Arabidopsis thaliana: one gene and its partner. The protein of the gene in region 2 interacts with the protein of the main gene of each other region in a pairwise test. Each region holds a gene or a part of one and is shown on either strand. Other genes may lie near its edges.

Region 1 (6,730 bases), on a different chromosome or scaffold from region 2:
ATGAGTAGCAGCAATGCTTTAGTAACTACTTACATCCTGGGAAGCGAAAAGGGAGATAACTCCAAGGGGAATAAAGATAACACTGACTATCAAAAATGTCGAAATGACCTGCACAACAGCACAAACATGTAAAAAAAGGAGCTTTTAGTTGCGCCTTGTACAGAAATCAGATGTCTCAAACATCAATAGAGATTAGAAAGAAATCTAACCCAACCAGGGGTTAGAATTGGCTTGCAAGCTGGAAGCTCCTGCTGTGTGAACTTCGAATCTGCAAAAGATATTTGCCAACAAAATCACACCTTTTAGCCATAGCTTTGACCATGGTTCCCTAACCATCTTTGTAACGACAATTTTGCAAAGAATTTGAGCTAATCCAAAGCTGTTAACAAATTGTTATTGAAAAACTAGCAAGTCCAGAGAGAATTTGATCCAATTCGAATAAGACAGAAGAGTCAACGATAAGCCATAATGAATAATCGGAAGAAGATAGCGAAGGGAAGATGATAAATACACTTGGGTCGCTTTGAATTCTTCCTAGCGGCGGAAGAATCTCCCGATCCGGCTGCCCCCGCGCTGGACGACGCCGTATTGGAACTCATGGCGGAGAAAACGACGATTACTAAGCCAAGCCTTGAGGGGATTATTCCGGAATCTAAGGAGACCGAGATCGGAGGAAAAGGTGAATCGGACAGAGAGAAATCGGGAAGAGAAAGTAAAATGAAGAGGAAGAAGAAGAACAAGGGGAAGACGAAGATTCGTCGTCGTTAACAGAAAGAACCGGTATTATTCCCATATTGACGTCAAAATGAAAGGCCCACTTTGTGGGCTTTATAATGGGCTTTACTCTATTTTGTTGAGTTGAAGCCCAAAATCTCCCATGCATCATAAAATGTTTTTAAGTTCTACAAATTTTTTGATTTGGAACGTTTTTCCTTCAAATATTGGATACAGTAAAACCTCTATAAATTAATAATGTTCGGACTGCAAAATTTTATTAATTTAGAGGGGTTTTAATTTATCGATAATTTAATATTTATTAATTAATAGAAAATTTTTCCTAATTTAGTAACTTTTCAAAAATTTGTATAAGATTTTTTTTCATTATAGAAAATATCTTTCAAGAATCAATTACAAGTAAAAAATAATATCATATTTAGAAAATAACACCAAAAGTTTTTGATATAGTAAAATACTAAAACTATATTTCAAATAAGGATAAATACAAATTTAAGCAAACAAATATTAGAATTATATTTCAAAGAAATTTCTTACATATAATGTATATATATAATTGATACATTTAAATAATTATTAATTTATGATATTGATGAGACCATATATTTATATAGGATTTTCAAAAAAATTATTATCTTATTAATTTATCGATTTGTGTCACTTTTTATACTGATCCCAACTCGGAACCAAAAACATTTCTTAATTTATAGAGATTATTAATTTATCGAGTATTAATTTATAGAGGTTTTACTAGAGTTTATACTTTAGAGGATGGGATTATGATCAGTGTTAATTGATGAATACAAAATTTAAAAAGTTTAGTATGTTTTATTGCAAGTTTATGCATATACGATCATGTTGAATTTCAAACGAACAAATTATTATCTTATTATATGTTTGGATTTGAAACTGCAATATATATATATATATATATATATATATTTTAAAGATTCATTTATAGTAAGATTGTTTTAGGGATAGTATAATAAGAATGATTAAATAATCTTGCATTTGAGAGAGATCAATGTATGACCTAGACAAAAACGATGATTCGTCTTCAAGTGAAAACTATTAGACCACTATCACTTGGTTAAATTAAATTAAAAGTATCATAAACTAGAGATTTCTTCATGATAATGTTGTTTGTATCTTCCAAATCAATCACAAACTATATATAGTATCATAAACTCGAGATGTCTTTAATCATTGTCTTGTAATTCTCATCTTTTTTAATAAAGAATTTATTTTGTTTGTAGTGAAATTTGTCTCGATTTTTCTCTCTTCTTTGTTTTCAGCTTCTTTTCTTGAGAATTTTTTCTTTATTCATTCAGATTTTAAAACTTTTGTTTCATATTCATAACACATATATATAGTTAAATAAGATATTGATCCGCAGTCGGACATATATAATCCGAAAAGTTTTCCAAATTTGCGTTGCCATGACGCCCATGCCAGATTTTAAGTCTACAAGTATGCAAACCAATAAGTAATGTCGATCGATTACACAATTTTTACTTCCGTTTTCCCTCCTATATATGACAAAACCAACCAACTCTAGTGATTAAGTACCATACACACCTAATGATAAAAATTAAAATAAAATAATGCAATTTCTTTTTGTGGTAGAAAAAATAATTCCACAAACCTCCTCACCCTTTTTCACCAGTCAAACTAATTCATAAGCAAAAAACAAGTAAAAAAAAAAATACTATATATGAAGTACCCGAGTATATTTAAATAAGTTGAGAAAAGAAGTACTAGATGATAGTATGAGATATGGATTTATCAAAGGGAAGCGGGGAAAGTGGCGGAAGAAGAGAAGATTTCGTCAAGTGTCCCGTTCATAGAGTCTCTGCATTGAAAGTCTTGTTGGATTGACATAATCTCTGCTTCGTTCATAGAAAGTTGAGGGAAATCTTGGAGTTGAAGAGGAGGATGATATGGAAGCTGATGAGAATAGTTTGAGAAAAGATGATCATGATCGTCCAGAAGAGAAGATGAGAAATGAAGAGCAAATATGGATGAGCTGTTTGCTTCGTCTAAAAGGACCCCTTGAGTTAGCTCTGATGAAGATGTCTCCGCGGATGCTCTTTTCAAGCTCTCGTCTTCAATATAATTACCATCACATTTTCTCCACTTCTTCTCCTTTTCTTCTTCCTCTTCTTTTCCTACACTAGTGCTCTCTTCTTCTGCTTCTTCTTCTTCCCCTTTTCTCTTTGGAATTTGTATGTTCTTCTTAAACACTCGGCACAATGCATACGACTCCTGTTTTAGATCAACATTAATATTAGTCGATATGGTTTATCAAAAAAAAAAAAATTAGATCAGAAATGAATATAGATATATATGTTAATAGAAGTTTGTGCATGGGAAATAATTTACCTTCAAGGAGGAGGAAGGAGCGTGCGTGAGACGATATTCATGCATGACCCAATTAGTACGAAGGCCATGAGGAGCCCTTCCTCTATAATAAACCAGTGTCTTCTTCATTCCCATCTTCATCTTCTTTGATTCTACTGTACGATCTTTCCCCGTGGCCTTCCAGTAACCCGCTCGGGTCGCACGGTTCGTCCTAGAGCCATTTGGATACTTCTTATCCCTTGTGCTGTAAAAGTACCATTCCATGTCGTTTCCCGGCAAAAATGACTTTTCTGTTCCGCGTATTATCCAAATAAATAACTCATAAAACCTCCAATATCATATGTATGAATGCATCATGACCAATATATGTAATCTATAACGTCAGATTGACATAAACAAGCTGAACCATATATAGAGAGAGATATAAAGAGTTGGATCGTACCAGGCAAGTCCCATGGCTCGCATTTATAAAGATCAACTTCTGGGATGATCTCGAGCTCAATGGCTTGGCCGTTGACCTTCCTATCAAGATAGTAAGCCACCAGTTCTTCATCAGTGGGATGAAACCTGAATCCTGGAGGCAAACTCATGGGCGCCATTCAAAGTGTATGCGTTAGAAAACGAGAGAGAAAGAGATGAGAGAGATTAATTAAAGTGATTAGGATGTTCGTACGACATATGAAGGTGACTATATATAATTAAAAAGATGAGACTCTGAAGAAGATATGATATGGGAATGTGTAAAAGTATGCCATGGGATTGGCATCTTCTGAGATTAATATTTTGTCTTACTTTGGGTTGCTTTTTGGTCAGTGTTTGTCATGATACTCATCACACATATTTTCTAAAACCAATATATATATTTTAAATAAAAACCTAACTCTGGCTTTTGAAGATTCTGCAAGTGTGAAAACCCTAGTAGGAGGAGAGACGGAAAAAGCTTTAGCAAGAAGGCCCCATCTCACAAATACTCACATATATGAATGTATATGCTTATAATTCCGGTTAGACCTTAACGTGGGTCATGAATCATTATAGAGGGATTTTTATAACGTTTGCTTTAAACCAAAAATGAAGGCTTTTTATGATTCAACAGTTTAGGGGACCCATCTCTTCTTCTCAAACCAAATCTACCTGGCGACACCTAAACACTCGGCTTTTTCTTTTCTTTTTTTTTCGGTTTGACAGTTTTGTTATATTGTTTTATGTTGTTATGGTCTTATAATAAGAATACTTATAAATTGAATTCATATATATGATTAAAAAATGGGAGAATAAAAAAGCAGGAGGCATCCAAGTCGACTTTGGCTTTAGTGTTGGGAGGCTTCTTTAGTCCCTTTTACATATGGATTAAAGACGTTGTTCGGCTCTTTTACATCATTACTCCCACACAATCTTTGACTCTCTTTCTCTCGGCCCTTCAATTTTACTAACTTCCGGTCAAATCTCTTTTGCCTCGACTCTCGGCCTCGATCCAAAAGATAAATTAAAAAAATAAGGACATCTTCATTCTTCACATGTATGATATATATAACTCATGTCATATATTAGATGTCTCGTTTACATGGTTTTTTTTCGTTTGCTAATATATATAATTCACATGTAGACGAAGAACATTGTAAACGGAATTTAACAGAATGAAGTAATCAAACGTTTTATGTAAGGAAATGATCAAATACTGAGGGAGTCCACAAGTTGCGACATATATAAAACTCCTCCATTCTTATAAAGTATAATATTCAAACTTCAAGTAAGTAACTCTCCCTTTTCCGTGAGAAAGAAATAACAATAACATTTTAGGGAAGCTTTAAGATGTGGTCACCAATAACTTAGGGAGAGAGAGAGAGAGTGACAGATACAAAAAACAAAAGATAGCAACTGAAAAATATTTTGGCGAAAGATGCTTTAACAGTTTAACTTATCAAACGACAACAACAAGACATGCCCCAATTGTTTCACCACTTTGTTTTTCTTGGTCACAAATCGAGTCTAAGTCTATATGAACAAGTAATTAATGTGAGTACTATATATAAAAAAAAATGTGACTATATATATAAATGTTGTATCACAAATGCAAAAGGAATGTGGATTAATTAATTAATAAAGACAACGAGGAAGCTAACATGCAAGCCTAACTAAAGACATGCAACCTTTGATACGATCTAAGGGGAAGCGAATAAAGCTAATTAAGATCTAAGCATCTTATCTTATCAACCCTTTTATATTTCCATTTCACATGTATCAAGTACCTATACTCTTTCTCAAGCTTATAGTATTGATATCTAGAGTATCAAATAAACATTAATTAATTAGACGTAACACAATAGTGACATTATTAAATGAATAGTAAACAAACTTTACGTGTATATATATCCATGACGAAATTGGCAAAGGCGGGACTCTATGGGGGAATCATGATAATACATACATACGATATACATGTTGACATGTATCATGTATCATGATAATACATACATCATCCCTTTTTTGTTGGTTTGTTAATAAAATGATCATACATCATCTTAAACATCAACATCAATCACAATTCTTCTAAAAGAGAAGAAGAGTCTTGTTCAGAAAAAGTAGCATCTGATTCCCTACATGTCGGTTTCCAAAACATATTTTTTTTCCATCTCATATTAGTTTGTGCTAAACAAACTGATCCAAGGAAAAAAGAAAAGCCTTTAAATAATACAAGTTGGAATCCCTGTGTCTCTAGAGATTCTTGCTTTCATGTTTTTTCACGCATCTCAATTATAGCAGAAGAACAATGTCACTGTCCAAAAACATTTGCGTTATTTGCCTTTTGCTTTTCTCCATGCATTAAATCTCATTTCTACCCTTGTTAAAGTGGTCACACTCATTACTCTTTTTAATATACTAATCCTACAGGACCACCTCGTGATTGTTATCTCAAATTTTGATTAATTATTCAATCAATTAGCCAAAGCAGATCTTCTTCAATTTTAAGATTTTGATGATTACTGTTAAAGCTGACTATCACTGCGGGGAATTCAAAGATGATGCTAGTATACAAAAAGAGAAGCATGGTTTCAAATTGCAGAATCAGGCCCATATATAAGTGGGCTTGATTATTTGGGCTTTTGGAAGAGTGTGGCCCAACATAGAGATATAGAGCTGTTATCGTCTGTCTTTCATGGCGGAGCAGAGGTGATCGTTTCACTATTCAATTTCACTCGTCGATCATTACCAACCTCTGCGGGCAAAGATGGAATTCGAGAAGATCAAGGTGATCAATCCCGTTGTTGAAATGGATGGTAAGTGTTCGAACAGTCAATTAGCTCAAATCTATGATTACGATTATGGGTTTCTCGTTACTCTGATTGATTGATTTGCTTATATTGGAGTATATGTGATCGGCTCTGTTCCGGGTTTTTCTTTTCTTCTATATGTTATAGTTTTATGAAATAAATTCAGAAACTTGACTCTTTATTTATTCTCTGTGCACAAGCAGGAGACGAAATGACTCGAGTTATCTGGAAATTCATCAAAGACAAGGTAAAAATCTTAACTTTTTTTTAAATCTTTAATCACAGATTGAATTCTTTTTGTGATTAAAATCTTGAGAATTTTGCAGCTTATTTTCCCTTTCCTGGAGCTGGATATCAAATAC
Region 2 (6,673 bases):
GATAATGTGAATTGATGGCTAAATTGATACAAAAATAAATAATACTATTAATTAACAAGTGGTGCACATGGTATATGGCAGTTAGGGCCATAACCTCAGCTTGTGCAAAAGTTTTGTCCCCACCAAGATAATACGGAAAGATATTTGTGACTTGACTAAATGCGTTATATAAATTAAATAAAGAAATAGTAGTAATGAATTGCTTAAATAATTGTAACAAACCCGTATGGGAGATACCCATAATATCCTAATCTCATTCTTTATTGTGAGAGCCGACATATCAGTACTCATCCCTACGTTTCCCCAAATGGAAAGTTATTGTTAAATTATTCATCAACTCAATCATTTGTGTTAGTGCCACGCCTTAAACCCTTATTTAGAAGTTGTATAGATTTTATGGATGCTACGATGTGATATAATAATAGTTATATCAAACTTTAGTATGAATTGTACTAATTCAATCTCTAAGTATAAAAAGGTATATGCTGGTTTGTACTTCTCAAATGAGAATAATCAAAACTAAGCATATATACCAAAAATGGGTTATCGGAATGAATCCATGACAATGACATAGATTAAAGAGGAAATGGTGTTAACAATATTTTTAAAACCAACCCAGTGAATCGGACTACCTTTTGGATCATTGGATCATCGGGTTAATTAGATTAGACTACGGGTCAATTGATTAAAATTTATTTAATAAATTTAATATTAATAGAGATTTTAGAGTTTTTAGAGTTCTTATAAATTTTAAAACAAAAATAATCATTTACATCAAAAAAAAATATAAATATATAATCAAACAATAATAATAAAGTGATGAAATTTTTTAAATCCAACTAAATGTCTAATACCGTAACAAATATAGTAAAAAATCAGCAATGATGGAAATAAACTAATAAAACATCGTGAATTCACACAACTAATATCGGATATCTCACTCACCATTCGATTCATTTTTTAAGGCGGCATTGTGAAGTCTTCATCAAAATCTTAAACATCAAATGGGTTTAAGAACTGAAAAATATCTAAAAATTGATTGAATAAAGTCTAAAATCTCATATTTTATTCCAAAATCAAGAGAATTTTTTAAAACCCACATCCGGCCAGTTCAACTGGTTCATCGGGTCACGGGTTAATGATGAGTTTTTGTGGGTTTTTTCGGTTTTGAACTTGTTGGATTTTAATACTAAACCCAAACCGGAAAAGTGTTCGGGTCACGGTTCAACCGGTCGGACCGGACGGTCCGGGTCGGACGTGAAAACACTGGGTGTTAACAACAATGCTACTAATATACTAATGATGGCTAATCATTTGATATAGAATAAAAAAATAAAATAAAATTAAGAGGATCTAAGAAAGAAAAAAAGTACACCTACTACATCTAGTTTGGTTGCAAATAAAATTAAGAAGAGTACTTTAAAAGATAAGAAACCAAATGAATATTTATAGTAACTAATCATGTTTCACTCGTTTATTAATCTTTTTGTTTCTTCATCCGAAACAAGATTACCACATCAAAAGTGTACCATTTATTGGAGTACTTAGTCACATTTCAGGGTTCATTAATAGAAATGTTTACAACAAATGATATAATTCGAACATTGTTATGGTATTATTCCTCATCGAGCGAGACACCGACGTGGTAAAGAACATTAAATCAAAACTAATAATAATGCAAAAACAAACAAAGCTAAAGATCTTAATTAATATTTAATAGAAAGTTATTAACGATGATAATACGAATAAGCTTACTCTAAGCTTCTTATTAACCTGACACTCTCATCTTTAACTTCACGACGACGATGATCCGTTAACGTTACCACCGTTAGCTCCGCCGCTATCACTATCAAATCCTCCGCCACCACCGCCGCTACTAACACTCTGGTGAAGCTCTCCTCCTCCTCCGACACCGTGGTGTCCATTGTTATGGTTATTAATCTCGCCGGCGAGAATCGGAGTGTGGTTTCCTCCGCCGTTATCGATTTGCCGGATCTCGTTTCCGGCGATATCACGGCGGTTAAAGGTGTTTTTGTTGTTATGCATCCAAACTTTGAGAACACTTTTATCAACTCCGATCTGCCGGCAAAAATCACGAACATCGTCTTCGTCACGTTTTTGCATCTTCCAACCAACACGTTCGGCGAATTCATGCATCTTCTCTTTCTGAAACTGGCTGAATTTTGTTCGGAATCTTTTACGAGATCCGTGAAGAGTATGTTGGTGGTGGTGGTGGTGGTTGTTTCCGGCGGAGAAGTTAAGATCGGAGAAAGAAGCTAAGTTGTTGTTGTTGTTATTAGTACCGGAGAGAGATAAGAGCATGTAAGAGGAAGAGATTGGTGGAGGAGAAGCTGAGTTAGGACTACGTGGTGGTGGAGGAGGTGGTGGTGGTGGTGGATGATGACGGTGGTGAGGTTGATACTCTACGGCGGTGGAAGGAGGAGGAGGGATTTGGGAAGAGTCGTTGTTGTTATCTGGATCACGGCGGTGGAAATTACGGTGGCAGCCACAAGCAGCACATTTGAGAGAAGTTGGATCGGAGGAGATTGACGACGGAGACGGCATGAATTCGCCGCAACCGTCGAGAGCGTGACCACCTAAAGCCGCCGCGTGGTTTTTGAGACATTCTTTGTAAGTAAAGAGGAGAGGATGGTGGTGGTGGTGGTGGCGTTTGATGATGCCGTTGCTAAAGGAAATGGGTTTCGCCGGTTGGATCCGGGTCGGAGTTTCGGATTCGGGTTCGGGTGATTTAGGAGTTGGTGTTGTTGTTGTTGTTATTGTAGGAGTCATATCCATCATAGCTTAAAACATTAATATAACCAATAATTTGAAGAAAAAAAAGACTTAGGGTTTTTGGGTTAAGAGCTTTGAAAATATGGTATGAGTTTCAGAGAATGTGAATAGAAAAATGAAGAAGAAGAAGAAATAAAGATAAGTAAAAAGGTTCTAACTTCTTAAGCTGTTGGAGATTTTTTAATATTACATATTTTCCACTTGATTTTTTATTGGTAATATTCGTTTAGAGGAGGAAAAGAAGAAAATGATATGATGACTATGACGACTGTTGCTGAAGCAAATAAAGAAATAATATTTTGAAAAAGGACAATTGTATTAAACTAAATTTATGATTTTAAATGAAATAATAAAGAGACTTGGATTTAGGGATATTTTAATCAAGGGAACCAAGGTTTGATGATTTTTAACCATGGTTAGGTAGATGGAGTTTGTGGGATCGACAAAGAGAGTGCGTGTTAAATTTTGCGGTGAAAAAGCGTAATAAATGTGGCTACTAGTGTCTTAAACATAAAGGCACAAGTCAAAACTGAAAAAGAAAAAATAAGTCTTATGGTAATAATGGGTTACATTTGTTCTAAGATCAGCAATGTTGTGAAAGATACTCCTTCGACTACAACAAAAACGTTAAGGTCAAACCTTTCAAATGAAGGAATGAGAAAGATCACTTTCTTGTAAAAGTTGGGGGTGAATTTTTAGGTTTCCACTATGGTTAAGTTTATATGGGTGATATTCGACGGAAAATGTCAATTTTGCTAGATTTTGATGAACAAGTTGAGAGCAATGATCGAAATTCCGTCCTTCATATACTAGAGATTATTAGAGGATCCAAAACTAGAGATTATTAGAGGATCCAAAACTATTATGAGAAATCCATTAGCCAATGTAACTAGGGTGATAGCTACTAGAGATTCATATAAATTTGTTTTTAAATATCAATGTATTGTAAGGTAATCTTAAGAGTTGTCTCAAAACAAATTTTTTTCTTTTTCTTTATAAAAGGAATTTTGTGCAAAAATAACTTTCAAAGACGTCAATTTTTACAAATTTATCATCTATCTCTAAAAAAATGCAAAATAATTGTATGAAATCAAAAATAATATGCAATATAGCTTCATTTTTTTGTTATAGTTAAATTTTTAAAATTTTGATAAATAATATATCAAATTAAAATCTTCGAGACGAGGAGTCCAACTCTACTTTCACAATTTTAAAAAGCAAATGTATGTGATCATAGAAACATTTACAATATATGTATAGGGCTATATTGCGTCTTATTTTGTATTTTATAGGATTATTATGTATTTTGTAGAGATTAATGGTAAAGTTGAAAAAATTAGCGACTTAATTATGATTTTTTTTTGCACAAACCCCTTATAAAAATATCAATTTTGAATCATTGTATTCTTGTTGACAAGTTAAAGTCTTTTTTCTTTTCTATTAATTGCATCATAATAAAGTTTTTATAAGCGATTTCATTTCAATCTTTCTATTATTTCTACCTAGCTTAATAAGTCCATTTGAGCTTGAATCCTACTAGCTTTGAATTCTCCCACAGAGATGTTCCTTGGCACAACTATCACGGCCCGTTCGTAAAGAATCATCCACGGACAATGTTTTGCTTAAATAATTGCGGCTCCAAAGAATTCTTTTGGGGAGAGTGCTATTCTGTTCTTAATTAATGCAATCCCAAAACATAATGGGTAGAAGGACTTCATGGTCATGTAAAGGAGATTACATGCAAACGATGAAGATATCTTCGACTTTCTTTTTGGTTAGACTTTAGAGGTAGAGAAGCTAATCTTATAGCAGATTTAGTGGTAATGATTGATGACTTAATGGGCTAATGGAATAATACAATTGGCATTAATTTTTATGGGCCGGGTTATTGCACACATGCAACTATAGTGATTTCAGAACAGCCCATCCGAGGACTTGAGTATAAAATAGACAAATTCAAGAAGGAAGTTTGAAGACCCCAAATTACCCCTTTCTAACGTCTCAAAATGATTGGGTTCGAAGCATAAATCATAGTTACACTTGTTTGTAATCATAGGCATATGTAATCACTAATCATCACTTTATTTGATTTAGCAAGTAACTAAGTATAAACTTATTGGTATAAATTATTTTAATGTTAGACAAATGTATTTCCAAATTAGTTTAAAACTATGTTTATTCTATATTTTTAATTCCTTCATTTTTATTTTACAGTGAGAAAGAGAGAGAGGTAAGAAGTAGCTCTATGTGGGCTGCATAAGCATTCTGTGTGTGTTAGTTGTATAAGTAGAACTAAGCACATGTGTTCCGTAGTGAAACACCAGTTATATGTTATAATAAGCTGAATTATCTCCAACTTGTTTATGGTTAGTTGGATAGTATTTAGCAGCACATGCACTTTCTCTTTCCATAGAGGTTTCCAATGTCACTATTGTATCATGATTGATGCAGGAGGTATACACCAAATTGCTTCACTCTATAGTAGCAACATCAAGTAGGTAGCTTATTAGGGTCTTTTAACAAGTACATGAACATAAATGTGAAATGTTGACAGATAAGGACAACGTTGAAGAAGTCAGGAACACTGTGTACCGGTAACTAGTCTTGATCATGCGGTTTACAATGCAGGCTAAGTTCTGATTCCTCCACAGTGCGCTTTGTCTTTGTCTTTTCTCATCATAGGTATGTAACATTCTCTTTTTTCAACACTATTTCAGTGATTCTCTCTTCTCTGTGCGATCATCACATGTTCTTTAAACGGAACAACATAAGCATTACTATTTCAGTAAACATGAAAACAAGTGCTGTTTTTTGGACACTAATAATGTTTGCAAGCTTCACAATTAAATTATATTCAGACTGCTATTTATTGTTTGTCTTGTGATGACTCCTTCACTCTCCTCTTGGCCTTTATCTCCTGATTCTATTAGTAGTGAAGATTATGTGGTTCTTTCCGGTTTAAGGATATGAGAGCTCAATAAAACTTTGAGAGTCTCCTCTGTCCTTTTAGTGTTCAGAAGTTTTGGTAAAAGGTGAAGACTTTTAGAATTGATGAAAAGGAAAAATGTAGAGTCTCTTCCCACTGGTGCTAACTTCAAATATCTGAATTGATCTTAGTGGATGTTCAAAGTTGAAGAGTTTTCCAGATATCTCAAGCAACATCTCATGTCTCTGTCTAAACCAAACAGGGATCGAGGAAGTTCCTTTGTGGATTGAGAACTTTGTTAGGCTCACATACCTAACTATGGTGGAGTGTAAAAAGTTGAAATATGTGTCCCTAAATATGGAGTGATAATATGGACTCTGAAGCTTTAAGTTAGGACACTGTTCTTCTATTATCCTTAATCCTTTTTGTGCTTTTCTTAAAATAAGTGATTTGGTTTGATATTTTCACGAAGCTATATACCAAATAATTGATAACTTTTTGATGCGGTGGAATATATATTCACTTGATAAATTGGACGTTCACATAGTAAAATATAGCTTGATACAAGAAAACATTATGCGTTATGCAATACTTAGCAAAATAAAACATCCACAACAAACATATTAAAATTCTTGAAGATGAAAAAACAGTTTCACACTCTCTTGACATGAGCTTTGTTATCAGAGAAACATCGAGTTGTTGATAAGAAGGTTGTTGTTGGTAATATCACTCGTGAACAGGTTCTGATCATAACCACAAGGAACATGCGGCATCAACCCATAGTTGTTGTTCACAGATTCTTGTACCACAGGAGCAGAGTGATCTTGTGTGTTTGAGACAAAAGAATGTTGAAAGTTGTTGTTGTTCATAAACATGTTCTGATCATAACCACAAAGCTCCTGTTGCATCAAGCCAGATTCGTCTTGTAGTAAGGCTGAGAAATCTTGATTGAGA

The links.
Region 1: the proteins of HB23 (region 2) and NAC020 interact in a two-hybrid assay, tested with the Arabidopsis thaliana proteins (one study listed by BioGRID).

What each region holds. Positions count from the first base shown.
Region 1 is NC_003070.9:20,277,195-20,283,924, forward strand, and holds NAC020 (NAC domain containing protein 20), read right to left. Parts: upstream 3,759-6,730; 5' UTR 3,696-3,758; coding exon 3,539-3,695; intron 3,387-3,538; coding exon 3,118-3,386; intron 3,001-3,117; coding exon 2,521-3,000; 3' UTR 2,313-2,520; downstream 1-2,312. Other genes in the region: AT1G54320 (LEM3 (ligand-effect modulator 3) family protein / CDC50 family protein), read right to left, coding at 34-108, 210-268, 512-599; ICDH (isocitrate dehydrogenase), read left to right, coding at 6,326-6,374, 6,572-6,615, 6,695-6,730.
Region 2 is NC_003076.8:15,907,669-15,914,341, reverse strand, and holds HB23 (homeobox protein 23), read right to left. Parts: upstream 2,993-6,673; 5' UTR 2,800-2,992; coding exon 1,795-2,799; 3' UTR 1,482-1,794; downstream 1-1,481. Other genes in the region: AGL81 (AGAMOUS-like 81), read right to left, coding at 6,400-6,673. UniProt on the Arabidopsis thaliana protein: Putative transcription factor. Probably involved in establishing polarity during leaf development through the gibberellic acid (GA) signaling pathway.